Linked DNA regions of Drosophila melanogaster. The protein of the gene in region 1 purifies or fractionates together with the protein of each later gene. This does not show direct contact. Each region holds a gene or a part of one and is shown in the gene's direction. Other genes may lie near its edges.

What was found.
Region 2: the proteins of Gdh (region 1) and Mpcp1 purify together in Drosophila melanogaster (affinity purification with mass spectrometry, with the first as the bait; one large-scale study listed by BioGRID). This does not show direct contact.
Region 3: the proteins of Gdh (region 1) and mAcon1 purify together in Drosophila melanogaster (affinity purification with mass spectrometry, with the first as the bait; one large-scale study listed by BioGRID). This does not show direct contact.
Region 4: the proteins of Gdh (region 1) and up purify together in Drosophila melanogaster (affinity purification with mass spectrometry, with the first as the bait; one large-scale study listed by BioGRID). This does not show direct contact.

Annotation. Positions count from the first base shown.
Region 1 is NT_033777.3:23,936,611-23,945,920, reverse strand, and holds the start of Gdh (glutamate dehydrogenase), read left to right. Parts: upstream 1-2,819; 5' UTR 2,820-2,909; coding exon 2,910-3,327; intron 3,328-7,150; exon of another isoform or gene 7,151-7,298; intron 7,299-7,365; coding exon 7,366-7,800; intron 7,801-7,869; coding exon 7,870-8,189; intron 8,190-8,293; coding exon 8,294-8,498; intron 8,499-8,901; coding exon 8,902-8,940; intron 8,941-9,275; coding exon 9,276-9,310. Other genes in the region: CG12268 (uncharacterized protein), read left to right, coding at 510-904, 1,127-1,236, 1,306-1,756, 1,815-2,232.
Region 2 is NT_033778.4:20,278,069-20,283,816, reverse strand, and holds Mpcp1 (mitochondrial phosphate carrier protein 1), read left to right. Parts: upstream 1-2,689; 5' UTR 2,690-2,829; intron 2,830-2,879; exon of another isoform or gene 2,880-2,973; intron 2,974-3,207; exon of another isoform or gene 3,208-3,227; intron 3,228-3,371; 5' UTR 3,372-3,389; coding exon 3,390-3,582; intron 3,583-3,651; coding exon 3,652-4,416; intron 4,417-4,482; coding exon 4,483-4,649; 3' UTR 4,650-4,751; downstream 4,752-5,748. Other genes in the region: CG16868 (uncharacterized protein), read left to right, coding at 1-1,667; CG9143 (uncharacterized protein), read left to right, coding at 4,995-5,748.
Region 3 is NT_033779.5:21,166,224-21,174,687, forward strand, and holds mAcon1 (mitochondrial aconitase 1), read left to right. Parts: upstream 1-2,346; 5' UTR 2,347-2,548; coding exon 2,549-2,581; intron 2,582-3,967; coding exon 3,968-5,605; intron 5,606-5,671; coding exon 5,672-6,175; intron 6,176-6,236; coding exon 6,237-6,425; 3' UTR 6,426-6,961; downstream 6,962-8,464. Other genes in the region: CG43346 (uncharacterized protein), read right to left, coding at 1-329; CG43345 (uncharacterized protein), read right to left, coding at 456-725, 780-1,991; CG31627 (uncharacterized protein), read left to right, coding at 7,065-7,619, 7,676-7,909.
Region 4 is NC_004354.4:13,598,872-13,605,255, reverse strand, and holds the start of up (upheld), read left to right. Parts: upstream 1-2,677; 5' UTR 2,678-2,838; intron 2,839-2,890; exon of another isoform or gene 2,891-3,027; intron 3,028-3,601; exon of another isoform or gene 3,602-3,888; intron 3,889-5,138; 5' UTR 5,139-5,163; coding exon 5,164-5,186; intron 5,187-5,475; exon of another isoform or gene 5,476-5,795; coding exon of another isoform or gene 5,796-5,798; coding exon 5,799-5,840; coding exon of another isoform or gene 5,841-5,844; intron 5,845-6,384. UniProt on the Drosophila melanogaster protein: Troponin T is the tropomyosin-binding subunit of troponin, the thin filament regulatory complex which confers calcium-sensitivity to striated muscle actomyosin ATPase activity.

The DNA of each region.
Region 1 (9,310 bases):
ATGAGTGTTTCAGTATTATGGCCTTGCCCACCGGCCGTTAGCCATAATTTCCACTTCAGACAGCCTGACAATTCCGAATCCGAATCCGAATCGCGACGCACTCGCACGTGAACTCAGATATAAATTCTATATAATTATACGCTATAACTGAACTAATACCCCGTTTGCCCTCCGGCAAAAAAGGGGAAAACCTCAAACGCAACTCCCGCAAATTACCAAATTATCGCACAGCTCAAAGACACTGAGATTCGGTGTTACGTGGAGTCCACAATGCAACCCACTCAAACACATCCACGGCGTTTATAAGTCAAGGTGATCATTATTGGTAGAAAAAATCCAAAAACTTACAATGACTCTTAATTGTTGGACGTTAAGCCGGCGCTGAAACCAGCGACATGGCCCATTACGCGATTCTAGCCAGTGGAACAGCAGGCCATTTGGATCCAAATTGCAATTCCAACGCCATGACACTTAACTAATGACCGACCGCCTCTTGTTTTCGCTTTCAGATCTTTGGCAAGCTGCTGGAGAAGAATCCCGGCATCGTGGACAAGGTGCGCGTGGTAAAGGGCGATCTGCTGGAGCCGGACCTTGGCCTGAGCGCCAATGACACCAACACACTCGCCTCCAACGTCGAGGTGGTCTTCCACTGTGCGGCCAATGTGCGCTTCGACCAGCCGCTGCGTCCCATGGTCATGATGAACGTGGTGGGCACCCTGAAGGTCCTCCGCCTCGCTGAGAAGATGAGCCAGCTGCAGGCTCTGGTCCACGTGTCCACCTCATACTGCCAGTGCAACGAGAGCGTTCTGGAGGAGCGAGCCTACCCGGCTCCACAGAACCCCTTCTCCATCATCGAAATGGTGGAGACGATGGACGACGAAGCTCTGGCGGAGATTACACCCAAGTAAGTGGTTGAAATTGCTCTTCCTGAGCCGCAGATATTATTGCTCTTATTATTCGCGTCCAATGAATTTTGAGCAGCACTTACTTTTAGTAAACAAACGCTTATAAAGATTTGGGCTATCTAAATACTGGCTGAAATATAATGAAGTGCCTATAGTTTCATGCTCCTTTACAGGCGTACCTTGGTGGCACCTAATAACCAGTTTCTTTGGCTTATTTTTAGATTACTAAACGGCTTGCCAAACACGTACGCTTACAGCAAGGCGCTGTCGGAAGATTTAATTTGCAGATACAACAATAAGCTGCCCATAATCATCACAAGGCCCTCGATCGGTGGGTATACCATAGTGTCTACTCTGTTTTTGTGCCTCCTGGCTAATTGCTTTATTAAATCCATTGCAGTGACGGCCGCCATTCACGAGCCATTGCCCGGCTGGATCGAGGGCGTCAATGGACCCACCGGCCTAATGATCGGCGCCGCCCGCGGAGTCATCCGATCGATGCACTGCAATCCGGACTACGCCTCCACGGTGATACCCGTAGACAAGGCCATTAACGGCATGATCCTGTGCGGCTATCAGCGCGGAAAGGCCAGCCAGGAGAAGGGTAACAAGCAGACGGGTGTTGAGTTCTGCAATCTGTGCATCTCCAGCAAGGCGCTGATGTCCTGGGGCGACAGCATCGAGACGGGTCGTCGATTCTTCTACGAAACGCCGCTCAGCTTTGCGCTCTGGTATCCGGGTGGATCCATCAAAAAGAACTACTACCACCACCTTTTCTGCGTCATCTTCTTCCACTATCTGCCCGCATACTTCATCGACTTTTGGCTGCTCGTCTTTGGCCAAAAGCCATTGTAAGTAAACGGTTAAATTTTAAGTTCTCCTATTAACACATGGATTATTCCCATCCAGCTTACTCAATGTCCAACGCAAAGTGTCCATGGGTCTGAAGCTGCTGCAGTACTACACAACGAAAAGGTGGGAGTTCCGAAACGAGCGCTTCCAGGAGATGAGCAGTCAGCTGAGCCTCCTGGATCAGGACCTCTTCGACACGTCGGTGGGTCAGGTCAATTGGGAGACATACATCAGTAACTACATTGTGGGCATGCGCACCTATATACTGGGCGAGAGCGAGGACACTCTGCCGCAGGCCAGGAAGGTCCTGCGACGGCTGTATATCCTCGACTGGGTCAGCAAAGTGCTGTTTTTCTCCCTGAGCTTCTGGTTCCTGTGGACCCATTTGGATGGCTTCGTGGAACGGAGCGATGCCTTCATCCGATCCTCGCTCAGCACCATTTACCATGAGCGAAACAGCACCATACATGTATAAACTCTTCTTTAATTATGTACTTCAAATATAGTCCACAAGATTTTGTTTCTTTTTAAGTAAGCTAGCTGTGTTTTATTTCTATTTTAACTAAGGATTAAAACTCAAAACAGTCACATAGGAATTGTGTGAAAGATCAATAGCATGATAAGCCCGAAAGTTACGTGGTAAATTCCTGAAAGTATGAGCTCTAAATAAAAAATTTAGCAAAACCTTTAAAAAAACACCTTATATAAAATATACCTTGTATATATCGTTTGTATTGTACTGTACGATGTTTATTACTTAGATTTTCAAGTGCTTTCTAAAAGAAACTCAGTACCCCCCTGAATTCAACATATAGCCGAAGATGATAAATCATAGCTTAATCTTGGAGTCAAAGAAAAACGTGAACGTGAAACCGATAACAAATACCTAATCTCGCCCTGGCAACGAAGCGAGTAATCCGCCGGCGGTGGTGCCGCGTTTCTAGCGGGCACTCCACCCACAGAGCTTTTCGGTGAAAAGTTTGCACCGCTCTCGCCGGAGAGCAAAAAGCTCGGCGCTCCGAAAAAGCCGACATATATATACATATCTATGCGAGTGCCTCGGCCAGTTTGGTGCGGCGTCGAGTAGCGAGCGGTTGTGTAGAACAGAATAAAAAAAGAGTTGGAACCCGAAGAATCCAAGCGATTAGCAGCATGTATCACCTGAAGAGTCTGGCCCGCCAGGGCGCCCGCCGCCAGCAGGAGCTGGCCACGCTGGCCAAGGCACTGCCCACCGCTGTGATGCAGTCGAGCCGCGGCTATGCCACCGAGCACCAGATTCCCGACCGCCTCAAGGATGTGCCCACCGCCAAGGATCCGCGCTTCTTCGACATGGTCGAGTATTTCTTCCATCGCGGCTGCCAAATCGCCGAGGAATCGCTGGTGGACGACATGAAGGGCAAGCTGACCCGCGACGAGAAGAAGCAGAAGGTGAAGGGCATCCTCATGCTGATGCAGCCCTGCGACCACATCATCGAGATCGCCTTCCCCCTGCGCCGCGATGCCGGCAACTACGAGATGATCACCGGCTACCGCGCCCAGCACAGCACCCACAAGACGCCCACCAAGGGAGGCAAGTGTTGATCCAAGATAACCCAAGATATAATAGTCAGAACTCTGCACGTAGGTAGTAAAAAATGAGACGTTAAGAGGTTTTCAAAAGGGATGCAAACAAAAGTGCCAAACCTATAGAGACCACTAGATGATTCAGTTTTCCTTGAAAATCTAAAACAAAAAATGCAATTACCTAGCAAGTTTAAAGCAAAAATTTGTCAACACTTACTTAAGTTTTAAGAAACCCTCAGAACAGCTGTTGTCGCTCGATGCAAAATCGATTTTTCCTTAGGCATTTCTGGCATTTCGTCTTGATTTTTCAAGTTATGTAACCCAGTATATAAGCCACACCAGACCAGACCCCCTTTTCCCCACGTTCTGCGCATGTACCGCTGCCGCCTGTTTTGTTTACGTTTTAGCCGACTGGGCTCCCCCTTTCTCCACATTTTTTTTTTTTTTTTTTTTGTTATTTGAGGGTTTTTAGGCCGCATTGCATAAGGCTCGGACGTTGGGCACACGTGTTTGCATTAGATTTCCAAACCCTTCAAGTGTGCCACCATTCAAAAACAGATGTACATATGCTGAATGTACTGCCCGCTTTTCGCACATTTCATTATTTTCGAGCTGGCAAATGTATTTCGATTCTTTCGCTGCTGTTTGTTTTTCCTTTGGCTGGGTGCTATTTATAATGAACTTTTGCTTGTGTTTTGCTTTCTAATTGAAATGAGAGCACAGCACTGCACAGTGTGTCAAGTGCTAAAAAAAAAGTAACGCCCCTAACCACCAAAAAAAAAAAGAAAAAATCTCCTTGTTGTCAGGCCACAAAAATTGTTTGTTCCGAATTCTGTTCCTTTTTTTTTTGCTTCATCTCAAATTATTAATTATAGAATCAGTTTGGTGCTTATCAAAAGCAAAAAAAAAAGAACACAAAAAATATGTAGTGAAAAATATTCGACTAGGGAATCTTATCTGACCTTGGTTATGCGCAAAAATAGAAAACAGAAACAGCCGAAAAAACGCTATGCCCCTAAAATTTGTTGTTTACGATTATTGCCACGCTTCTTAACACTTTATGATCTTGTTTTCGATCCATAGATCGATCGATCGATCATGTGGCTTAGTTAGTTGGGTCACCAAAAGTTGTAAACAGCCTGTTACTAAGTGAATTGAATCCACCTTATGGCTCGTTAATGATTCACTCAAATAGCCAGCTCTCTGCTATTTCAGTCAAAGGTGCTAAAAATTGCTAGTCTATTTATTTACTTAGTACTACTAGATCAATGGACAGTGTTTAATGGCCACCATTTTGTGCGCTCCATGCTCTAATTAATGTTAATTCCCGCTGATGCATCTGCCATTTGGCTGTTAATTATTTAATACGTTCTGCGTATGTACATACATCAAGTCCCCGGTCTCGAATTTCGGCAAAAGTGCCCCTTTAAAAAAAAAACAGCCGGCTCATGAATTTCGTTTCGTTTGGTTCCCTGTCCAAATGTCGAGTTGTGTGTGCCTCTAAAGAACTGGTTTTAATTTGCCCGGGGTGTCTGTCCGTTCGGCTTTGTTCACGTGATAGTCACGTTGTGCCAAAAAAAAAAGAATTGAACAAAAACTGCGAGTTTATGATATATGCGTCATACGCTTCACCACTGTGCTGGTTTTCTTTAATTTTTTTTTTTTCAACAAATGGGGGTCCATTCAAAACCGATTTGATCTGGCCTACGACTGTGGAACTTTCTACACATGTCGATGAACCGATCTAAATTGTCTAGTCAATTGAGTGGTCTGCTTTGCATTTACTCAACCACAAGTACAAGTGATGCATTCAAACTCGAATCGAACGCGACAAAATAAAAAACTGATAATGTAAAGCGGCCCTATCGCCAATGTATTATTTATACATATTTATTATACACATGTGGCGACAAATGTACACACATTAGTTCAAGTAAATAGCGTTGCCCACAAGTACTTGGCAGTTATCTTATTGACAAACATGTTTCCATTCTATTTGCTACCCGTCGAGAGTTGCACTCGAAAAATGCGTATGCAAATCGTGTTAATTGTGTTACACTCAAGTTGATTCCCCGATACTTACCTCGCCCTGGAAAAAAAACAAACAAACCTGTACCCATTATCTAGTTCACAGCTAAATAGTTGATCACGATGGTATCGACATCGAAATGGCATGTTTCTTAGCACTCAACTTCGCTGGGGGTGCGTCCATATCTGCGTCACTTCCGTTCTTATCCCCCCAATCTTATCGAGCATTGAGATCTCAAGGCCCCCACTGACAAAAAGATTTCGGAGAAGTTTTTGCACTCGGCGGCATTCTAATCATATGGCGTAGAATTCTGGTCAGCTGACTTGGTGAGGCAACCGGTTTGGTCTATTCGAAAAACAAAAAGATCGTCGCCTGTTGCCAATGGGGAATATATACATATGGGCATACTTATAGACGTGGCTATATGGCACACACACACACAGCCACACGATCGAGCCCCCAAATGTGTTATCGCACCACCGATTGTATAAGCAGCAGCATGCCCAACTAGACTATATAGGCAGCTATCTTTGGAACCTTAATAGATTCATTCTTTCTGTATTGTTTTTCGAAAAATTTTTGGCAAAAAACGAAAACAAGTCGACTGATCAAGCCGGTTGGTGCTGTTACTCTGGCATTTCGTCTGCTGTTTTTTTTTGTTTGTTTCTTATGGTAAACATAAGCGAAAAGAAAGGCGAAGAATGGGGCTTCGCCAAATAGAGAATGATTCGCTGTCGTCAAGCGCGGTGGGTACAGTCAGCACCATTCTCAGCTGGACTTGGGATTCGATTCGATATGAGGGCTTAGCTCACTCAGCGGAAAGGCAAAGCGAAGACGCCAAATGGCTGTAAAAAAAAGGCTCTGCAAACTCAAAAACCACTCATTATAAACTGAAAGTCTGGCTTTAAATTAATAAATGCTACGTGAATACAATCTTCCCAACACCAGCTCACTAATCTTAAAGTTTATTATTAAAAAGCACAGATTATGTGCTCCTTAAGATTAAAGATTCAGTAACAGCACGGAAGAACCTATTTTTAGGTTGTTTACAAGCATACCGGATCATAATTCACTTCAGTCGCGACAGGATAGTGTACTTTAAAATCAGACTGGCCCTTGAAAAACAATGATACACAAATAAGTTCCAATCGGTACATAATGAATTGTAATTTTTTGAAATTGTGTACTCATCGTTTTATTTGTTTATAAGTTCCAGTTGCCGGGCCCCAAAAAAATGCTACACAGCTGATAATGTCAAGAACTTATTTCGAGTGCCAAAAGCAAATTCAGAGATTGTTTTTTGTGTGGAGAAACCAAAAATTTGCTTGATTCATGGTCACTATCGACCGGCCACTTGGCAACAAGGCATTTAATTTAATCGCAAAAATTAAGCTAATTTTGGATTTTATAGTCTTGTTTTTTGGGGGCTCGTCCCGGGGTTCTAATGGGGAAGTCATTAATTTACCTAGTTCTACATACAAATTTACGTATGTATAAAGGCCATTTGGTGGAACTTGCTCTTGCCAATAAAGCAGCATTTATATTTATCGATCCATAAAAAGCGGGCACTTTGCACTTTTAAGTTCTTACAATTAAAACACCCTTGTTAAATTCGAATTACAAGCACGAAATTTTGGCTTATCTAATCGCGCCGACTTCCCAAAGATATAAACATTATATGTGCCAAGCAAATAAAGATAAGAGCCAAGGAGGGGTTTTATGGTTTCTGTTCATGGGATTGTTGCGCCATCGGCGAAAGGTTTCCCCACGTCTGCCAGATGCAATGATTTTGTTTTTAGGGCACGTGCTTTAGTAAAACAGCCAAGAAATGTTCGGTTGTATCATCGATTCGAGGAGAACTTTTGCTTTCCGCGAGGAATTCGTGTAGTTTGTCGTCTATTTTTGTATTTGTCTGTTGGATTTAGACCAAAAATGAAAGCTGCAACAAGGTCGCCGAAAGTTCTGAGCACACCTGTCGTATACGTAATGTGCTTATGCAATTCTTTTCCCTTGCAGGCATCCGTTTCTCGTTGGATGTGTCACGCGATGAGGTCAAAGCCCTGTCCGCCCTGATGACCTTCAAGTGCGCCTGCGTGGATGTGCCATTCGGCGGAGCCAAGGCCGGTCTGAAGATCAACCCTAAGGAGTACTCCGAGCACGAGCTGGAGAAGATCACCCGTCGCTTCACCCTTGAGTTGGCCAAGAAGGGCTTCATTGGACCCGGTGTCGATGTGCCCGCCCCCGACATGGGAACCGGTGAGCGCGAGATGTCCTGGATTGCCGATACTTATGCCAAGACCATCGGTCACCTGGACATCAATGCTCATGCCTGTGTCACCGGCAAGCCCATCAACCAGGGCGGTATCCACGGACGCGTCTCGGCCACCGGTCGCGGTGTCTTCCACGGCCTGGAGAACTTCATCAACGAGGCCAACTACATGAGCCAGATCGGTGAGTGTTGCATCATGATTGTCTAGTTATGAAAGTGCATCATCCTAATGGTAATATCTACATTCTTAGGCACCACTCCCGGCTGGGGCGGCAAGACCTTCATCGTCCAGGGCTTCGGTAACGTGGGCCTGCACACCACTCGCTATCTGACCCGCGCCGGAGCCACCTGCATCGGTGTCATTGAGCACGACGGCACTCTGTACAACCCGGAGGGCATTGACCCTAAGCTGCTGGAGGACTACAAGAACGAGCACGGCACCATTGTGGGCTACCAGAACGCCAAGCCCTACGAGGGCGAGAACCTCATGTTCGAGAAGTGCGACATCTTCATTCCCGCTGCCGTCGAGAAGGTCATCACCAGCGAGAATGCCAACCGCATTCAAGCTAAGGTAAAGTCTTAATTGAATATAACAAAAGAATCTTGTAAAAATGGGAATATATTCCCGTTTCAAAATGGTTAATATATATTTTAAATAATTTTCATCAATTTTAGATCATTGCCGAGGCTGCCAACGGCCCCACCACCCCCGCTGCCGACAAGATCCTCATCGATCGCAACATCCTGGTCATTCCCGATCTGTACATCAACGCCGGTGGTGTCACCGTCTCCTTCTTCGAGTGGCTGAAGAACCTGAACCACGTCTCGTACGGTCGCCTGACCTTCAAGTATGAGCGCGAGTCCAACTACCATCTGCTTGGTAAGTTTATCACACTATTATTATGCAAAACAATAGGCTCTTGAAGGCACTTGCTCCTCATCTCGTTATCTATCAATCTATCTATCTATCTGAATAAGTATACTTTGGCCCATTGATCATGCCATCTCATTGATTGGTTTATGGATTTAGTTATGCTATTTATTTTAGAAAACACAAAACCTATTAGAAAAGCGCTTGCTCTTTCGGCATTTGCTCTTCCCATATTGGTTCAGTACTTCCAAATTTCGTTTCTCGTCAATTTACTTTCGATTTATTATCCACCTACACCTGAAAATCAAACCATAACCAAGAGACTCTAAGATCGTTATATAATTTTGAAGTATCATCTAAGTAATTCGTTGTTTATTCTTCTTCTTTTTCCGTTTCTCTATCAACAATGTAGCCTCAGTCCAACAGTCAATTGAAAGAATCATTAATGACGGTACATTCTGATTATTAATTCTTTTCGTTACCACCTATCCATCCTTAAGCCCAAAAAACTTTTTCTACCTCATGTTTACCTTTTTTGTAGTTAGTTTTGTTCTGTAACGTTTATTTTGTGCATTTATTACTTGTTGCTTTATCCAAAAAAAAAAAAACACAATATCATAATCAGACTAATACCAGGAACCATCCAATCCTATGCTTTAATTCGGTATCTAATTATTTGGTGGCTTAAAAAACCCTGTCATATATGTATATGTGGTCCCTTGAGCATGTGGCACTCTTAACTAATCGCTTTGTCCTTTTGTTTCCCCCATCGCTGTTTTCCTGCAGAATCCGTTCAAGAGTCCCTGGAGCGTCGCTTCGGC
Region 2 (5,748 bases), on another chromosome or scaffold:
CCGGAGGAGCTGGATACATAATCACCATTGCGCACACCATCTTCGAAGGCAAGGCCCATGCGCTGCACTCTGCCCAGCAGGACAGACCCGTAGCAGTGGTAGCCCTGGACGTTCCTTATGCCTTCTACTATCGCCTGATCCTGGAGGGCACACCGATCTGCCAGCTGCCGCATATAAAGTGTCTGCTGTTCGAGCACGAGGGATATTTGTTGGCTCACCCCAGCATGTTGCAGCCCGCCACACTCACGAAAAACCAGCGACGTCCACATGAGCACCTCACACACAAGGAATCGTATTTGGCCAACGATATGTTGAACCACGGCCAATTGGTACGAAAACTCGGCTGTGCCAGCTACCAAAACCGCACGTTGCAGCGTTACTACGCCTTCAACACATCTCTGTCCAGCATCCTGGGCAACGTAGTGCACGGCGAGCGAACCAAGTACGCGATTGCCCTGATCCGTGGTAGCAATCTATTCGCAGCCGTACTAAACTCCAGCTGCGATGGCGGCGCCTTTTGCCCGTGCAGCACAATCGACAGAGAGTGTCTCAACTGCAAGCGAATGGACCAAACAGACTGCGAGTGTCCTTGCGAGTGTCCAATGGTGGGAGACAGCAGCTCACCATCGTCCCTCATGTACTTTGCCAACTACACGCGACAATTTCCGTACTGTCCACCGCCAAGTGAACATTTCATTGCACTTCCACCGACCACACAGCTGCTGAGTACTCTGCCGAATTGTCCTGGTTCTGCTGGCATATGCGAAACGTATTCCACTCAAAGAGAATGCCTCGGAGTGATGGGCTGCGAATGGTGCCAGCTGGATGTGGACGGCAATAGTTTTTCGACCTCCTTCTGCTCGTCCCAGGCGAGCTGCTTCAACGGAGTACTTGCCTCGCTGACACCCTACGGTGAGCTGGACGAGATGGAACTGCTGGCCGCCCACAATCCGCAGAGAGAGCAGCACGCTTACTCTGCATTTGGTCCGCTAGGAGGAGCCATTGTGGTGCTTGTCATGGTGATTGGCTTTGCCATCTACTGCTACAGACACAATCTGGATGCGCAGACGCAGGAGCACTTCTATGTGGATTCGGTACAGGAAGAGAATTACGGCTTGCCGCTGTCCAGGTTCAACTTTGACGATTGCAAAGCGCATGACGAGCCGCCTCTTGGTGGCGGCTATGACCACGCATCTGCACAGCGGCAGCTGATGCACGCGGCGGATATTTCGCCCTACCACGTTTCCAGCGGCAGTAGCTATCGCCGGCCACCCAACGGTGAGTCGGATCATGGCTACAGCACAATGACGCCGCACGAGGACAGTTCCGATCAGCAGTGCTTCACGCTGGCGGAACCTTTGCTGCTGCACGACAAGCGGCACAGCAAGTCGGACACCATGTCCATATCCACATCCATATCGAGTCCCACGAATCGACAGCAGTCCTCCTCGCAGCCAAACACGCATCCCTACTTGAGCAATCAGCCGACCTCAAAGACGGAACGCTACAAGCAGGTGCAGGCCACGCCCTCGCCATGTCGCGGAACGCCAGCAGGTGGTAGTGTCTACGGGCAGACGACGTTGCCCCTCGAGGGGGATAAGACCCGGCCACACTATATCCTGGCACCAGTGACGGTGCACCGGCACATGGAAACTGCCGAATCGTAGTCCACAATAGCGTTGTTAAGTTTTAGAGCGTAAGATGTCCGCTTGTTTGCCAATTTAGTTATGTAAGTTTCCAAAATGGGCAGTTCAACTGCCGACAGTCCAGAATGCTGGGCCCGCATTCCAAACCCGCAATGTGTTTTGTGAGCTCGCGGTGGCCTCCATTGTTGGCCCATCTGTATCTATTAGAGCCTCCGTGGACGAGACGAACACCAACTATTAAGTGATGACATTGTTTCTGCCATTTTTGATCGATGTATTGTATTTGTATTGTATTGTATTTTACTGTAATTTATTGCAAAAAGTATTACTATATTATGTGCAGCTATATACTTCCGATATTTTTAGCATTTATTTGATAAGCACCAACAACAGAAATGTACTTACTTGTCTGATTGTAAGATACCATGTCGTATATCGTTTTTTGTAATAGCCCCTAAGACTACAGAGTTACTAACTACTGATTTTAGTAATACACATCTATAATAGCATTGTACGTTTCAAATAAAATGTTTAAATTTTGCAAAAAAAACCCACAAGATCTTAACCTTGATCCAGAGCGATCGGATGAATCGATTGGGCTGCCAATTGCTCGTCCTCCGATCAGCTGGTCGTACGTTAATGAAATTATTTTTACACCTATACATTTTATAAGCAAACCAGACGCTGCTCAATGGGCTCTTTTTTTGCTGTGGTGGCCAAGAATTGCCAATTTATAAATAACAATCTCTATTCGGGGGTTGTCAGGTGGCTTTTAGAGCAAAATTAGCTATGGATCTTTGGTGTAAGTTTTTACCCGATACCCAACCATTTCATAACCGTCATTAACCGATGTCATAAGGCTGAGATAGCCAACATATTCAATATCTTCAAAAAGAAAGTGTCTTTATACTGATTAGCTGTGCATTTGCTGTGTAAGTTCTTACCCGATACGCAACCGTTTCGAAACCGTTATCAACCGGTTGGCTTTGCACTCGGCTGGCAACCCTGAACCGAAGCTGCTAGCTCTCACTATACCATTGCAGCCACTGCATTTGGTTTTCTGGTCTGGCGCACGACGAACGTTGCTTTGGGTCCCCACATTTCAGCCCAACAACGACTCTATACTTCAACTATATCTAATCCCTATCTGCACTTCACCTCCTTCGATACCCCGCACTTTGAAGTGAGTGTTTAAGTTTGCTCGGTGTTTTGAAAACCGTTCTGTTTTCGAACATTTTCGAAATATACGCAAAGTGATACAATACGTACTCTGGGGAGAACATTACGCAATGCATAAAAAGTGTTTGGCGAATGAGAAAAAACAATAGTTATGTAAAAAATAATGCAAGTATACATTCTCAATTTCAATATAACTTGATAAAAAAAAGAAAGTTTATAAAAAAAGTTTTTTGATGAAGTGATTTCGGATTGAATATATTATTGCCAATGCTTATCATTTACTATTGCTAATTAATTTTTAAATTATAATGATACTAGAAAAACAGTTTTTAAATAATTGTATAATCTTTCAGGATTAAAGAACATAACTTCTATGTGCTCAAACGTTTTTGACAAAAGAAAGTACGAAATATTAATTTATAGATGTAAAAACAATTAAAATAGATTAAATGTATTTAGTGTAGGCGGTACCACTTGCAATTTAGTTTGTTACATCATGACCTTAACCTTAAACCCATTCGAAACCCTTGATCTCTGTTTTCAAAGGCACTTCTCTAAGGCATCATGTTTAAGTCCCTGTTCGATGCCGCGCAGAACTCAACGTTCAAGTCGCCATTCACTAGCGTCAACTGCCAGTCAGCCACGCCCACTTCCGCCCCCACATCCACCGCGGTGGTGACCCCCACCCTCAAGGATGTTGCTCCACGCCAGCTGACTCGAAACCACAACATCGCTGCCGCTGCCGTTGCCGAGGGTGGTAAGTGGGACAAGTCCTCCTGGAATCACCAATGAGTTGGATATATAAGTATTGTTAATACCTCTGCAGACTCCTGCGAATTCGGCTCGAACCACTACTTCCTGCTGTGCGGCCTGGGCGGCATCATCTCGTGCGGCTCCACACACACCATGGTGGTGCCCCTGGATTTGGTCAAGTGCCGCCTGCAGGTGGACCCGGCCAAGTACAAGAGCGTGTTCACCGGCTTCCGCATCAGCTTGGCTGAGGAGGGCGTCCGCGGATTGGCCAAGGGATGGGCACCCACCTTCATCGGCTACTCGATGCAGGGTCTGTGCAAGTTCGGCCTGTACGAGGTCTTCAAGAAGGTGTACGGCGATGCTATCGGCGAGGAGAACGCATTCCTCTACAGAACCGGACTCTATTTGGCTGCATCGGCATCCGCTGAGTTCTTCGCCGATATCGCCCTGGCGCCCATGGAGGCGGCCAAGGTCAAGATCCAGACCACGCCCGGATTCGCCAAGACATTGCGCGAGGCTCTGCCCAAGATGACCGCCCAGGAGGGCGTGACCGCCTTCTACAAGGGCCTGGTGCCATTGTGGATGCGCCAGATCCCATACACCATGATGAAGTTCGCCTGCTTCGAGCGGACGCTGGAGCTGCTGTACAAGTATGTGGTGCCCAAGCCACGTGCCGATTGCACCAAGGGTGAGCAGTTGGTGGTGACCTTCGCCGCCGGTTACATTGCCGGCGTGTTCTGCGCCATCGTCTCGCATCCGGCGGACACAGTGGTGTCCAAGCTGAACCAGGCCAAGGGTGCCTCCGCCCTGGACGTGGCCAAGCAGCTGGGTTGGTCTGGTAAGTGCTGACATTTGATGGGATTTCCTGTTCCTCATCTAAAACATTCGCTTTTTTCCAATTCAGGATTGTGGGGCGGTTTGGTGCCCAGGATCGTGATGATCGGCACATTGACCGCCGCCCAGTGGTTCATCTACGATGCCGTCAAGGTGTTCCTGCGCATGCCACGCCCACCACCACCAGAAATGCCCGAGTCCCTGAAGAAGAAGCTGGGCGTGACTGGCGAGCAGTAAACCAAATATAAGCTAACTGTTTTTAAATTTAGAGCGAGCAGAATGTTAATCGAATTAAACTTGATTTGTATAGATAAACCACACAGTAAATAAAAACCACACAAAAATTAAACGCTCTTTGTATCAAGGGGTAAAAGAAAATTTCAATTTAAAATAACCGCCAAGCTCGAGTGCACACCTCCATATTTTCCAACACTAATTTAGCACTTTTAGTTCAATACCGAACAGCTGAGCTTAACAGCCCCGTCCAATGTCAACAAACAGAGGGAAGAAGAAGCAGCATTCAACACGCGGTTTTTTGAACTGCATTTTTATTTCACTTTTATTAAGTTAAAATAGATAATTATGGTTCAGAATAAACAGAAAACAGCGAAGCCACCAAAGCTGCTAAAAGGCGCAGCCAAGGAGCCTGCACTTTCGAAGGCGGAAAACTGGCAGAAGGTTAAAATCAAGGGCCACGTGATATCCGACGATGGTGGCGGCTTCGAGGGATTAATTGGCCTGGAGGTCCTCAAGGACTACGATGCATCGCTGGTGAAGTCCTCGCAGAAGAGGACCACATCCCGGAATCCAGACAGAGAGCGCAAGCTGAAGAAGAAAAAGAGGAAGGTATCGAAGGGCGACGAGGAGGAATCCAGCGAGAGTTCCAGCGAATCCGAAAGCGAGGATGAAGTGGCGGTCGCTGCTAGGACCAGTAAAAAAGCCCGCCTGGCCGAGCGTCATGCGCAAAAAATGCAGAAACTGCGCGAGAAGCGTGAAAAGCGAAAGGAGCTGCGGAAACAGAAGAAATCGAAGGGCAAGGAAAACGACAACAGTGAGGAGTCCAGTGATGAGCACGCGGCAGATCGTTTCGCATTGCTCAGGCCACCACCATCGGACGATGAAGAAGAAGTGGTCAAGGCGGAAGATTCGGCAGACCAACAGGAGTCGACCGACGAAGAAGCACCCGAATTAGTGCCCATCTCCACAGGCGAAGCCGAAGATATGTCCGCCTGGAACGGCCTGGGTGTTCCCGCTTCCATTTTGCGTGCCCTCGGCGAGCAAGGCTTCAAGACGCCCACACAAATCCAGGCACTGACGCTGCCGGCTGCAATCCACG
Region 3 (8,464 bases), on another chromosome or scaffold:
GCTTCCAATTCGGCGGCGTTGCGTTTCTTCATGTCCATAATCTGAAGATTTTTCACCAGCTCTTCGCGGGTGGGCGGCTCCTCCCGGCGCCCTCGTAGCCACGCCTCCCATTCGGCAGTCAGCTCCTGGTCGAAGGCTTCCTTATCCGCTGGCTCGAACCACCGGGAAGGCTTCCTCTTTCCAATCGAAGGATTTGCAGGAATTTCGTAGTACTTATTCCCGAAATAGTCCTCCCCAATGTAATCCCCACGAAACTGCCGCGGTCGTAGGGACTTCCAAAAGTTCTTGAAGATGATGCCGATCACATCGCGCGTCGGCTTGTTAGCCATGCTTATTTTAACTTAAGAGCGAGGAACTTAAATTTATTTTAGAATTTGAGGTTAGGTCTTGCGTTTGTTATGACATGAACAGCTGGTGGCGGTGTTGCAAAATGCCGGCAGGTTTAAAAGCGTAATTCAAATTCGTAAAATTGGTTTCAGTGGCAATGCATAGGGACTAAACCAGTCCCGCAGAAAAATTGCCATTAAATCTGTACGGAGACTATTATTGTTGTATTCCATGTCCTGGAGTACTAATCCAATGCCAGCTGAGTAAGTAAAATGCTCTCCCGAAAAACTGGAGGTGCCTATAAAGGCAACCCTATCGGTGACTAAGTACGAGTTGCAGTTAACTCTACCGCCGGAAATCCTCTCCAGTTCATTTGTGGTGGGTACAACAAAACGTCGCTGCAAGAGCAAAGAAATTGTTAATAAAATTGCCAATACTTATAAGCTCATTACCATTTGTATATCTACTCCTTCCGTAATTTTGTCGAGCGCTTGAAGGGACCTCAAGAAGTGATCCTCGCTGGGATCCGAATACTTCCACCATGAAATAAGCACCTTAATGGCCACACCGCGTTCCAAGGCAGCTCTACGCAGGGCATTGTCTATGACCGGCCAGTACTCCAATTTGTTACTCCGTCTTAGCCGAGGAGAGTACTCCATTAAGGAGAGGTATATAACGTCTGTGGCCTTGTCGATAGCCTCTAAAATGGCATCTAGCTCTCGGGTCCTTCCAGTAGCGATCAACTCTGGTGGTGATGTGGATAAATAAGCTCTCATTGTATGTTTTTTGTTGATGTTTAGCAAAAGCGGTCTTCTTTGATTGATGTGCGTGTGGTATATCCACGGCCAGCTCTTTGGCACTTCATTGCTGCCCAGGTACCAATACGCCTTGAAGATCTTTCCCAGATCTAGAGCAAGATGGGGACAATTTCTGGCCAGCACACCTAGTTCCTTGCGTTGCGTCAGTGATCGCCAGTCCATGCTAGCTGTGCCCAAGTAGAAGTGCTCCCCGTCCACTAACCACAGTTTTGAGTGCAGAAAATTAATGCCCACGACGTCGGCTGCTCCGTAGTTAGCCAAGATACGGGCATCAGCATGCCACAGGCTATCGTGGCTGCGATTAACCACAATCCGCACGCGCAGCTTGGGTCTGCCGGCATCTCCATTCGACAGTAGCTGCTGAAAGAGTTGATCTCCAGGCCCGGTGCTGCTATCGTTGACGTCCAAGCCGCGCAGTGTCCAGTGCGGAGAAACGATGTCCAACGATGCCTTGGCCCTGCCTAGTAGTAGCTGCCAGGCATCAAAGGTGCTACTCAGTTGGGGGTGGCTTTGCCATTGGCTGTAGTTCAACCCCAAGGGCAAGCTCTCCACCAGTTCGAGTTGACATGGTAACGGCTTTTCCACCGGAACGGGGCTGTTTCCGTTTTCATTTCGATGGTAGGTCTCCCAAGGCAACAGAAGCACAATCATCACCAGAACGAAGAGTATAAGCACTGGTATGATGTAGCCGTGCTTGCAGGAACAGATATTTCGCTCATCCTGGAGCCCTAGGCCGCAATTGGGACGCCGGCAACACGATGTGGTCAAAGGGGTTGGCTCTTCCGGTGCTCTGGGCACTGGCTGGTACTCTCCGGGTATCTCATGCACTACGCGACGCTCGGACATGGCAAGGGGATCAGGACTAATGCTGACTGGCCATTGTCAAACATTTTTCACAGCCGAGCCTATTTATTATTCGCGCAGTTGTGGGAAAGTATCACCCGCCCACGCAAACAAATGGGCAGTGTTGGACAGCACAGCGCGGTAGTCGTCTGCGCTGGCTGCTAAAAAAAAGCTAAAGGATAAATTAATCCAAGTCCCTGCTCAGAAAAATAAGTTGTCGTCAGTGCATTATTTCAGCATTTACTTCGATTTAAGTTTTAACGCCATAGAGTCCATTAATTCTCTTGAAGTTAATAAATGTTTATCGCTTTAATTCAAAACTGATAAACTTTCTATGGTCCTATTTATTTAACGACCCAATTTTGGCGGGAAACAAGCCGGCGGAACATTGCTGACGCGTATGCGTGACGCCAGCTAACACTGGTCGCCGTGGTAAAGAATTTAGTCTGTCTTAAAATCTTCCGGCTGAGAGGGCTGAAAATTTTGACGGCTTCGAAGCATTTGCTGCAATATCAATTTCGTCGGGTTTATTTCGAGTATCGCTTAATCAGGACGCGACCATGGCTGCGAGATTGATGAACGCCCAGGCACAGGTAGGTTCTAGAGCGGAGCCTGTGCCTCCAGTCGGCCAATATATAACCACGGCTATATATACGTTTACGTATAGAATCTGTGAATGGAACCCCGAAATTCCAAGCTGCGATAAAGACAACTGGACAGAGCACTGCGCGAAAGTTTACAAAAAATCATTGCCCATTTCTTACACACCCAGCAGGATGTGGGCAGCGAAAAATAGCAAATTTTTCGCACAGCGTTTTCTAACCTAAAATCATAAAATTCGAAGTGGTTAGGTAACCGAGTTCGCAGTGTTTGTGATTCTACAGGCCCTGCATCCCAAACATGTATACTGAATACGCAGCAGTGAACCATGCGAAATCGTTAGCTCTCAACAATTAACAGCGATTCGTGGGGGTTCGATGGTTGGCATAGTTGCATTTACATAATCGCCGGGGTCCAGTTATTTAACCAGGAGGCGAACACCCTCTAGAGCATATATCTTGTGGCGGAGGACCGTCTTATCTGTGACAGGTTTACTTACACTTTGATAATGCCAGCACTAAATATAGCTTAAAAAAGTTGCGCCGTTTAACTTGAGTATCACGCGCATTGGAGGAGTTTTGCCTTTCAAGTGGGGTTTTTCCACGTCAGCTTCGAGAAAGGTTTCACTGTACTCTGCCCATAAGTTAACGACCTATTTGACGTAATTGTCATTGCAATTGTTTCGATTTGCGTGTATGTACATACAGTCGTGTCGTCACGTGGTTCTTCTAATTGGAGTGTTCTGTAGAATATTGTAACAATTTGAAAGGCTTACAAACAAACTATATTTCCAGCTACTTTTTATTTTTTTATTCTGCAGTTCGAAGAACCTTAAAGCACTTTGGCTAGCACTTAAAATACTTTGATTGTTAAATGTAAACTTTCAATCATTTTACTAATCTCAAAAAAATATTTGGAAAAATTTCACTCTGAAGCGGTAAATGGATCAATGGATTATTTTTGGCTATTCAAAAATTTCAAGACGATTAAAATTTATTAGCTTTAGCAATATATTGATCTTAAAACAAGTGAAAGCGGTGATAATAATGTTTTACATTTGTTATATATGTATGCAAGATTAAATGTACAGTAAAGAAGAATTTTCACAGATATGGTCCCCACATGATTGTACTCTTGTCAGAATATCTTTGGGAATTATCATTTCCTGATAGAGGAATCAATTTAATTAAAGTGACGAGGACTCGTCCTCTTGACATGATAATCAAGTGTTTATTGGGCTACCAAGCGAATAAATAAAATCTCACAGTGTGCGAAGTGCAAATAAACTAGAGAATCACATTGTGTTAATTACTTGATCTTGATTGCTAAATGTACCACTTCACCATATTTAACAGTTCGACTTCTTATCTGCTTTCCAGGTGTGTCGACTGGGCAAGCATGTTGCGTCCGAAGCCACAGTGGTGCGTCAGTTCCACGCCTCCTGCTACACCGCCTCCAAAGTGGCTCTGTCCAAGTTCGACTCGGACGTCTACCTGCCGTACGAGAAGCTGAACAAGCGCCTGGAAGTGGTGCGCGGTCGCTTGAACCGCCCACTGACTCTCTCCGAGAAGGTGCTGTACTCGCATCTGGACGATCCCGCAAACCAGGACATCGTGCGCGGTACTTCGTACCTGCGTCTTCGCCCCGATCGTGTGGCTATGCAGGATGCCACTGCACAGATGGCTCTGCTTCAGTTTATCTCCTCCGGACTGAAAAAGGTGGCTGTGCCCTCCACTGTTCACTGTGATCATTTAATCGAGGCCCAGATTGGTGGACCCAAGGATTTAGCCCGTGCCAAGGACCTGAACAAGGAAGTGTACGATTTCTTGGCCAGCACCTGTGCAAAGTACGGATTGGGCTTCTGGAAGCCAGGCAGCGGAATCATCCATCAGATCATTCTGGAGAACTACGCTTTCCCCGGCCTGCTGATGATTGGTACTGACTCACACACCCCCAACGGTGGTGGCTTGGGTGGCCTGTGCATTGGCGTTGGTGGTGCTGATGCCGTCGATGTGATGGCCGACATCCCCTGGGAGCTGAAGTGCCCCAAGGTGATTGGTGTCAATTTGACTGGCAAGATCAGCGGCTGGACCTCGCCCAAGGATGTTATCCTGAAGGTTGCCGATATCCTGACCGTCAAGGGAGGCACCGGTGCCATCATTGAGTATCACGGCAAGGGTGTTGACTCTATCTCTTGTACAGGCATGGCCACCATCTGCAACATGGGTGCTGAGATCGGAGCTACCACCTCTCTGTTCCCCTTCAACCAGCGCATGGCTGATTACCTGAAATCGACAGGCCGTGCTGGCATTGCCTCCGAAGCCCAGAAGTACCAGGCCAAGATTCTGTCCGCTGACAAGAACTGCGAGTACGATGAGCTGATTGAAATCAACCTAGACACCCTGGAGCCCCATGTTAACGGACCATTCACTCCCGATTTGGGCCATCCCATCAGCAAGCTAGGCGAGAACTCGAAGAAGAACGGGTACCCTATGGACATCCGTGTAGGTCTTATTGGCTCTTGCACCAACTCTTCGTATGAGGACATGGGTCGCTGCGCCAGCATCGCCAAGGATGCCATGAGCCATGGCCTCAAGTCGAAGATTCCTTTCAATGTGACTCCCGGATCAGAGCAGATCCGTGCCACCATCGAGCGCGACGGCATCTCTGAGGTGTTCGACAAGTTCGGCGGTACCGTTCTGGCCAACGCTTGCGGTCCCTGCATTGGACAGTGGGATCGTAAGGACGTTAAGAAGGGCGACAAGAACACCATTGTCACCTCCTACAACCGAAACTTTACTGGCAGGAACGACGCTAACCCGGCCACCCATTGCTTTGTCACTAGTCCCGAGTTGGTCACCGCTCTGTCCATCGCCGGTCGTCTGGACTTCAACCCGCTGACCGACGAGCTTACTGGTGCTGATGGCAAGAAGTTCAAGCTCAAGGCTCCCTTCGGCGACGAGCTGCCCGCCAAGGGTTTCGATCCCGGCCAGGACACCTACACTGCTCCCCCACCCGTAAGTACATTTAAATTCCCAAACTGATTTATATTGTTCTTAAGAATCAATATGGAAATCCCACAGAGCGGCGAAAATGTCAAGGTGGCTGTCGACCCCAAGTCGACGCGTCTGCAGCTGCTGGAGCCTTTTGACAAGTGGAACGGCCAGGATCTGACCGATCTGACTGTGCTGATCAAGGTTAAGGGAAAGTGCACCACTGACCACATCTCCGCTGCCGGACCCTGGCTGAAGTACCGTGGCCATTTGGACAACATCTCCAACAACATGTTTATCGGAGCCACCAACTACGAAAACAACGAGATGAACAACATCAAGAACCAACGCAACGGTAGCTGGGGAGGAGTTCCCGACGTAGCCCGCGACTACAAGGCCAACGGCATCAAGTGGGTGGCCGTCGGCGATGAGAACTACGGCGAGGGTTCGTCCCGCGAGCATGCCGCTTTGGAGCCCCGTCACCTTGGTGGTCGTGCCATTATCGTCAAGTCCTTCGCCCGTATCCACGAGACCAACCTGAAGAAACAGGGTCTTCTGCCTCTCACCTTCGCCAATCCCGCTGATTACGATAAGGTTTGCGACTCTTAGCTTCTGTGACTAAGGTCATATTAACCATATCTTTGTACTTCAACAGATCCAGCCCACGAGCAAAATCTCCCTGCTCAACCTGAAATCCCTTGCGCCTGGAAAGCCCGTAGATGCCGAAATCAAGAATGGCGACAAGGTCGAGAGGATCAAGCTTAACCACACCCTGAACGACCTACAGATCGGCTGGTTCAAGGCCGGCAGCGCTCTCAACCGCATGAAGGAGCTGGCCCAGTAAATGGTCCTGGACCTACTTAAGACACCCAGTCAAGAAGCCTGATCCCAACCTTCTTCCTGTAGGTGAACACACTCAAATTCACAACGGAAGCAATCGAATTATGGTATTGTTATTCAATTCTTTTCAAATTGTTTATATTATATTTTGACTATATCGAGTGTGCAGCTTTAAAAGTGAATTATGTAGCCGAACGATAGCGAGAAATTGTAAGAGTTTTATATATATAATTATACACAATTTTATTTTTAATTCTGGCTATGCATGCGTTTCCTTCAATTTTTGTTCTTTTTGAATTTGTCCAAATGCTCTACAGATTGCCTCTACTATGAAACTGTTTTAAGTGCGAATAAAACTCAAGTAATATGTATTAAACCGATTCTTTCATTTAATAAACAACAGTTAAAACAAAAAAGCGGACAATAAGTGCCGTCAATTCATCCCGTGTCCTCTATATTTTCTTCATTATTAACATAATTTTATCAATTATAAGACGTAAGACACAACAATTTGCACAATAAAGCATAATATCAATAATAGAATCTACTGGGGCAGATTACTTAATTATTCACCCATAGCTTTTGGAAAATATGTCGAATTGTCAATCAAATATAAATTATTAGTAAATCCAATTCTAGGACTATGAAACGCAGAGCTCAAAGTAAAACTTCCGTTGCTTCCAGCACGGATTTCTTTTCACTCTCCGACAAGCCATCGTTGGGAAGAAGACGAGCCCTACTGGCTGCAAAACTTAAGCGTCAGGAACAGAGTACAACGTCCTTTGACTCCAGCACAGGCTCCTACACTTATACAGACGCCACTTCTTTGCGAAAGACCCCCATCACCTTCTCACCTAGCCCGGAGTTCATGAAGACCGCCAAGGCTAAATTAAAGTTAATCGCATTGTATGAAGATCACAAATGCTTGTGGAATCAGCGCAACAAAGATTTCTTCAATTTCGAGCTCAAAGACAGAATCTGGGATGCGATTGCCGATGAAATGAAAGCGGACTCGCCATCTGGGTTTTGGAAACATATGATTCACAAGCTTCGCTATAAAGTTGAGATGGAGCGCATACAAGAGCAGGGTGCAAAGTTTTCGGGTGAATCGCCGCAGCCAAAACTATTTTATTCAGATAATCTGCTGTTTCTAAATCACATGTTTGACCGAGAAGGGGGAAAACCCCCTCGAGAGATTGTATGTTTATAGTTAACGAACAAATCACTTTAGTATTTATTCTACTTTTTACTCAGCCAATGCATCTTAAGCCTTCGGGACCTACTCTCGAAAAGAATCCGTCTAGAAACCTGCGACATGTTCAGGAAAAACGTAAACGTACGCCCATTAGAGAAAAGATGGCTTCGCTTGAGAAGTTGAGGAATCTCCAAAATAGCAAGTTTGTTCTCTCCCGCGACGCTTTTCAAAAAATTCAAAAAATTACTAGTGGCGGTCCCTATTACTTGACAAAAACAAAGATTAGACCATAGGCCTTGATTTGAATATCTCAAAATAAAAAAATGCAATGCAAACACATTTGAATCGATTTTTCGCTTTATTACATTTCTTGTATCATAATCGTTTTGTTTTTCTGGTTTTGCCATTTTTTAAATATTGACGTTTTATATAACAATTCATAATTTTAGCTTACAATATTTTTGTTTTGTATTCTTAGAATCGTTTATGCCTTTTGCCATGAAAACACTTCTCTCTCTAGCAAATATACAATTTTCGAAACTTGTGATTTTGCAATTATTTATTATGTATATTATATATATTATATGTATATAACTAAAAATGCGTAAATTAATTTTTTTTTGTTTGTTACGTGGTTTGTGGGCACATTCCTTTTATCAAAAGGAACAAAACATGAAAATGTACATAAGTGTTATTGGCAAATAGTTTACCATCTGTTTTAGATCTTGATACACATACGTGCATCATCGATATAAAGAACCTGAATTGTTTTTAAATTTCGAAGCGGCAGTTGCAGTTCTGTATTTGCGCCTCATGAATTGCTCGTTTAACGTGTCTCTCTAAAAGGC
Region 4 (6,384 bases), on another chromosome or scaffold:
GATTTAATGTGTTAAATACATTTAAGTTTATAATAGGAAGCTCTTACTATTCTGGTCACTAAAATCTAAAATTGAAAAGAACATATTTCAGAATTTTAACTGTTTTCTTGCATCATACACAGTAGAAAAAAAATGCAAGTGACACAGCCAACAATAGCTTATTATTTAAGATTGCACCGATTGCAATCAATTCAAATTATTCGACACTTTGGATACGCTGTTCATTCATATAATCCCAGGGCCATCGTTCTTGTCTGAAATCAAATATTTTTCCAGATCTTGGATAATGTTTATGTTATTCCTGATCTATGCAGATATTAGCCACAGTTCCCCGTAAACATCGCCCCAGAAAGCTAACCTATAGATAGACATATAGAAGATATTTAAACAAATACATATACATACTTTAATATATATATATATATATATATATTTTTTATATCGGGCATCTTCGTGCATACGATCGGCACTAAAAACCGAAGGCTACAGACGAATAGCGCCCACACAAAACGTCCAAAAATAGAACAACAAAAATTCGAAACTGTGCTATTTGTTATTCCCTGATTTTCGAATATTCTGACTTGCCTTTCTAACATTCTGATATTCGGACATTCAGAAGATGATGCGAATTGAAATTTACTTGAATACGGCATACGGCATACCCGACTTTCCACCCACTTTCACGCCCACATATGTATATATCTGCACATGTCCGTACTTCTGGTCTACGGATCACTGAGCTATTTGGCCCGATGTTTGCAATAGGTTCGTAGTTGTTTATTGAACGGAGGATGTTATGTGAATCCAGCCAGATGGCAGGCAAAAATTGGAAGCAGCTAAAAAAGCGCTTACAGATGTCGTTTATATCTGGACAGAACACGCCCGTACCATTTCATGCACTAAATCCCAGATAACTCGAACTGCCCACCTGTGTCCCATTGCGATTCTGTAGTTTTGTGGTTTTTGGCAAGCCATGCATAATACCTAGACCCATACATATCACATACACATACATATCTAATTATCTATGCATACATATCTATCTATCTGCGTATCTGGTGTGTGCATTTTGCATTTCGCAGAGGTGCAGATACAAAAATGTTCTAAATTTAAGATACTTGGTAACCAAAAACGAAATCAAAACAAATGCCGAAACTTTGCGACTATATAGTAATTTTACTATTGGAGAATATTGTAATATATATAATTTTAAAATAATATTCATCGCATGTTTTTAATTTACACAGAAGTCTATTTATTTGAACAACTTGTTTATGCAAGGAATTAAGAGAAGTCTTAAATTAATTTTTCTATAATCATATATAATGTAATGTAATCATAATATAATGTAATGTAATCATATATAATGTAATCATGTATGTATAAAAATTTTTACCCAGATTTTGAGGAACTTTGAGATAGCCCAAATATTTTTTTTTGCAGTATTAATAATTTAAGAAGATACAAGTGCAAGCGAAAAACTAAAAATTTTTTTTTTTTTTTATATTCTTCTAGAATTTATATCTAATTTTATGAAAAATTTGGCAAAAAAAAAAACAACGGAAATCGATGTTGATGAAAGTACATTTTTAAAATATTGTAAGTTTTTGCTTTATTTTAATTTTATTAATACTAGAATACAGAAACAAAATTAAATACAGAACAAAATATGTTTCACTACCCTTACTTAATACAAATATTTCTTATGTGTTATGATGTTTATTAAACGATATGAAAAAATTAATTTTTTTGGCAAAATTTACATATAGGAAAAAGAGATTTTGTCAAATTCTTCAAATTGATTTTGTATGCTTCGAAAAAATAACCCAATAAAGAATGAATTAAATTCGATAGCTTAAAGTGCTGCAAGGCGCGTAAGTGTATCTGAAACTATTTGCCAAAAGTATCTGTTAGAAAGTAAAATAAAAAAAATAGCATAGAAAAAGGAGAGAAATAAAAAAAGAAAATCGGAACAATGACGAATAGATTCAAGTGTTAGACAAATGGCAATGCGATGGGGCCACCTAAGGCCGTTCGACGTCAGCAGTTCGATCGCGATATAGATATAGGTAAATAAATATATATATATATATATATATATATAGGGGGTGATCGGTGATCGCGGCGGACTGGGTTGGAGATTTTGTAGGGCGTGCACTCTGGGGTTCAAATGCTGCAACGATCCGCTGAGGAATCCAAACTATATGTGCTATATATCGGCACGAACATCTGTACGTATATATTATAGAGCAATATATGCAGGCCGACTTTTTAATGGCTGTGAAATTTATGCTCTACGATATTTGATTCCAAAAACAAATGTGTAAAATGCCGCCAACGCACCGAACGTCCGTATGCGCTATATACTTATTGTATGATCTAGTTATGTGCGTGCGCCATTATGGTCTAATGTATAGTATATACTAATATCGTATGCCTCATCTCGCTCTGGCCAAAATGGAAAATTGGAAAACTCGACGGCGGCTGTGTGCGTGTACAAGTTTATGTTTCAGCTGCAGCCCACCTGAAAAATTCACCCAAAACACATCGAACACAGCCAACACAGGCAGGCGCACCCACCACCACCCACTTGTTGCCACATCGGCCAGCGATATGTGGCATATAGCGCTGGCCTGCTCGCACACATGGCCAGCTATTGGCTATATAGAAAGGCGATCGGTGTGTGCGTGGAAATGGCTTTTCCGCGAACGCGACGAAAAATTCTTTAACATAACGTGTAGCAGCGCTTTTCATCGTCAGTTTGGTTAGTCGAACCGCAGCATTCGCTCCTACGACGTCAGCTGCTCGGACTTCAATTCAATTTGTTTTTCTCCCTAAGTAAGTTTTTTTTTTTCTGTTTCTGCTCTACTGCTGCTTCACATCTCCTTCAAATGCTGCATCACCAAAAAAATAAAAAGAAAATATAAAATAAACTTGTGTGCCTAAAAACGAAAAGAAAGTTATCGAAAACGAGAAAACCGAATCCTTTGCGAATAAACCACGAACCACGAACATCAACAAAAGAAAGTTACGAATTGGAAAATCCTAGTGTTATATAACATTTTATTTTTTTTTTTGAAATTTTTTTAAAGTGCAATCTACGAACAAATAGTGCGAATAAATGACTTGAAAGCCACCAAAAAAACGAACTCTGAAGCCAACTTTTTCAAAAAATTTTTTTTTTTTAAACTTTTTTTTTTTATTATGGCTAAAGGCTAAAAATAATTTGAAAAAATTCGCCCAGGCATTGGCGGCGCCAAAAACAATATTCAACGGCAACTACAACAACAGGATTAGCCGCAGCAGCAACAACAACAACAAAATCAAAAGCAACAACAATGCCAGACAGGAATCTATACATATAAATATACATATACATATATGTATATCTTTTTGCTTTCTGAAAGTGTTATATGATCTGAGAGGAAAAGTTCTCAAATTTTTTTCGACGAATTTTAAAAATAAATTCGATTCGTATGTGTGCGCGAGCGAGTGTGTTTTTACCTTGGCAAAATGTCCAAGATACACACACACACACACACAGAGAAACACACACACACAGATACGTAGAGTGAAAACTTTTTTCAATAGCTTTCCGCGCAGGCGCCGATCAGATATGTTAAAGATATAGTAGGCGAAAACGAGACGGAACTATAGCCACCCACACAAGATCGATGGCGAATAGAGATCTGGAGATTTTTGGAGGATATATATAGGACTATAAATGGAAACAGGGCACAGATAGATTGAATTAAAGAAAGGGAAATTTGTAGAGTAAATTCGATAAGGATATAATGACAGGATATAAAAACAGCATATGACAGTTTTATGTTGCTAGGCAGGAAGTAGCTAACACTTACTCAAACTTTGAACTTGAAAAGACAAAAAGTAAGATTCAAAACCATGTTTTTGAAACTAACATGTATGATCAGTAACATTTTTGTATATGTAAGTGTGAAAAGACGATAGACGTATATTTCTGATAGTCTGTCGGATGATATTTAGATCATTACCAGTTTCAATTGAAAAGTTTGTTCAATTTTTCCAGAACTTTTCTCAATACATTTCACATCATTTCCAAGCACTTGCCCCAAAACTGACCCAGTTTATCTAAGGCTAAAAATACAAGCTCAGCAATTGCACTTCCACGCAAAAGTGCAAAGATTATAGAAATAGAATATTCATAATCATAGAAATTTCAAATAGCATATTAAATATATAAATTCGTGGCATAATAACTGGCATAGATATATACAGGCGATCTATGAATGGCATTTGATTTGATTTTCTTTTCATTACACACAAGTACGCCCAAATATATATCAATACATATACATATATAAATTGAAAAGCTTCTTTAGATTTTCCGATTTAGTGCCAAGGTAAAAAAAAAAACGAAAATTTTCAAAAAAGGCTTTGTCCGAAGCTTTTTGATGTTTTCGGAAGCTTTCGGCTCTCGGGAAATTCAATACTGCCCCAAAGTCTATTTTTAATTGAGAAAAAATCGGAGGAAAATGAAAAAACACACATACATAGATTGGACTACGACTCTCTCCTTCGCACACACACAGTTATAGATTGTGGATATAGATAGCATGGGAAATTAAATAATTTTAGAGCAGAGCGTACGGAATTTATCGTTTATTTTTTTCTTCTTGAATTTGAAAGATTATGATGTGAGGACGAGACATTGTTGCCGGCTATAAAAAGACAGGTCGCCCTGCCTACATATACACAGCGGAATCGCATATACATATATATTATATACATATATATAGGGGGAAAGATCCGTCTAAATATAGAGTTATCGCAGGGCGATCAAAGGCTGCTTCAAGTACAGTGAAACCCTGAATAGAAAATAGACAAGGGGTTATCAAAAAGGGCAATCATTTGTTGACTTGTTTGCACACCTGTATTTCGCTGTTCTATTGTTGTTGCTGCTTTGGCTAAAAAAGGGGTTATATTTAATAAGCATTATTTTTAATATCAATTGAATTCAAAAAGAAATATAATAATGGAACACATTCACGTTTTTGGTGTCTTTCCTATTCTATTACAATGGCTTCCTAATTTAATCTTAAATATATGCATTTGAAGACTAAACTAAACTTTTTATTTTCTATATATTGTTATTGCAGGTTTTTTCAACCCTAAACCGTAGCCATGTCCGACGATGAAGAGTACACGTAAGTAGAACCCATGGAATATGTAGGACAAGATGCAAATATTAAGTATACGACGCGTATGACCGCGAACAAGATTTAAAAGTGTGTAAAGTAAACAGATAACTTAAGTAAAGTAGCAAAGTTGAAGAGAAGTATTCGATGGTCTCGTTTGAACCCTTGTTGTTATACGTACTAACTAATTCAACGATCAGATTTTTGTGGATTCTTGTAAGAGAACTTTTTGTAATCACATTTACCAGTGGCACCTATTTTGATCTGTACTCCTTTCTATCTATTTCCACGCATTGTCATCCCTGAACCCGAACCGAAAAACCGACCACGATCCCAAAAACCTCCACAACCACAACCCATGAATCTGTTCGAACAACCGCTAATGTTGTCGTTTCGTTTCTTTTGAAATCAACAACTAATAACAATCAACAACTATTCAACAACAACCACACGACAATTCAACAACAAATCAACAATATCACCTCTGCACCCGTGTGCCGTGTGTAACCCTGCACTTTCACTCCAAAATATATATATAAAAAAAAACACCTTATTCAAAAATCTTAAACCAAAAAATATAAAAAAAAACCAAAATTCGTTTAATTACGAACTCGAAAGCAGCTCCGAGGAGGAGGAGGTTGTCGAGGAAACCCGCGAGGAGACGTAAGTACATTTTTGTTGCCGATTTTTGTCGACATCTTTTGTTGGTTTTGGTGCAGCAGCCTAAAGAACTCGATTGGTGTTCACTTATGTCTATCTTTTTTTTTTTTTTGTTTTTGCCCTAACTATAACAAATTTTTTGATTTTTTTCGAAACCGAACCTTGCCCACCATTTTGTATTCCAAATTTTCTATATGTGTTGTATTTTGTCAATGTCTGCAATATAAAAAACCACCCTTTTTTTAAAATTGGTAGAAATATGTATTCCCCAAAAAAGATTTGAAAAAAAAAAAACACCCAGAAACCCGAAACCAACCCAACATTTTTGTTTTGTGTACTCGTCTGTAAATAATTTTATTTGTTTATTAATTTATCTTTAGTTTTTATTTTTTATTCTGTTTTGTGTACATTTTTGTTATTTCTTTTGGTTTTTGTTTTCAATGTGTTGTTGTGTGTCTATAAAAACCAAAATTGAATTTAGAATTAAAAGTATACGATCACAAAATCAATATCCGATAATTGTACAAAATTTACTAATGGAACCCGA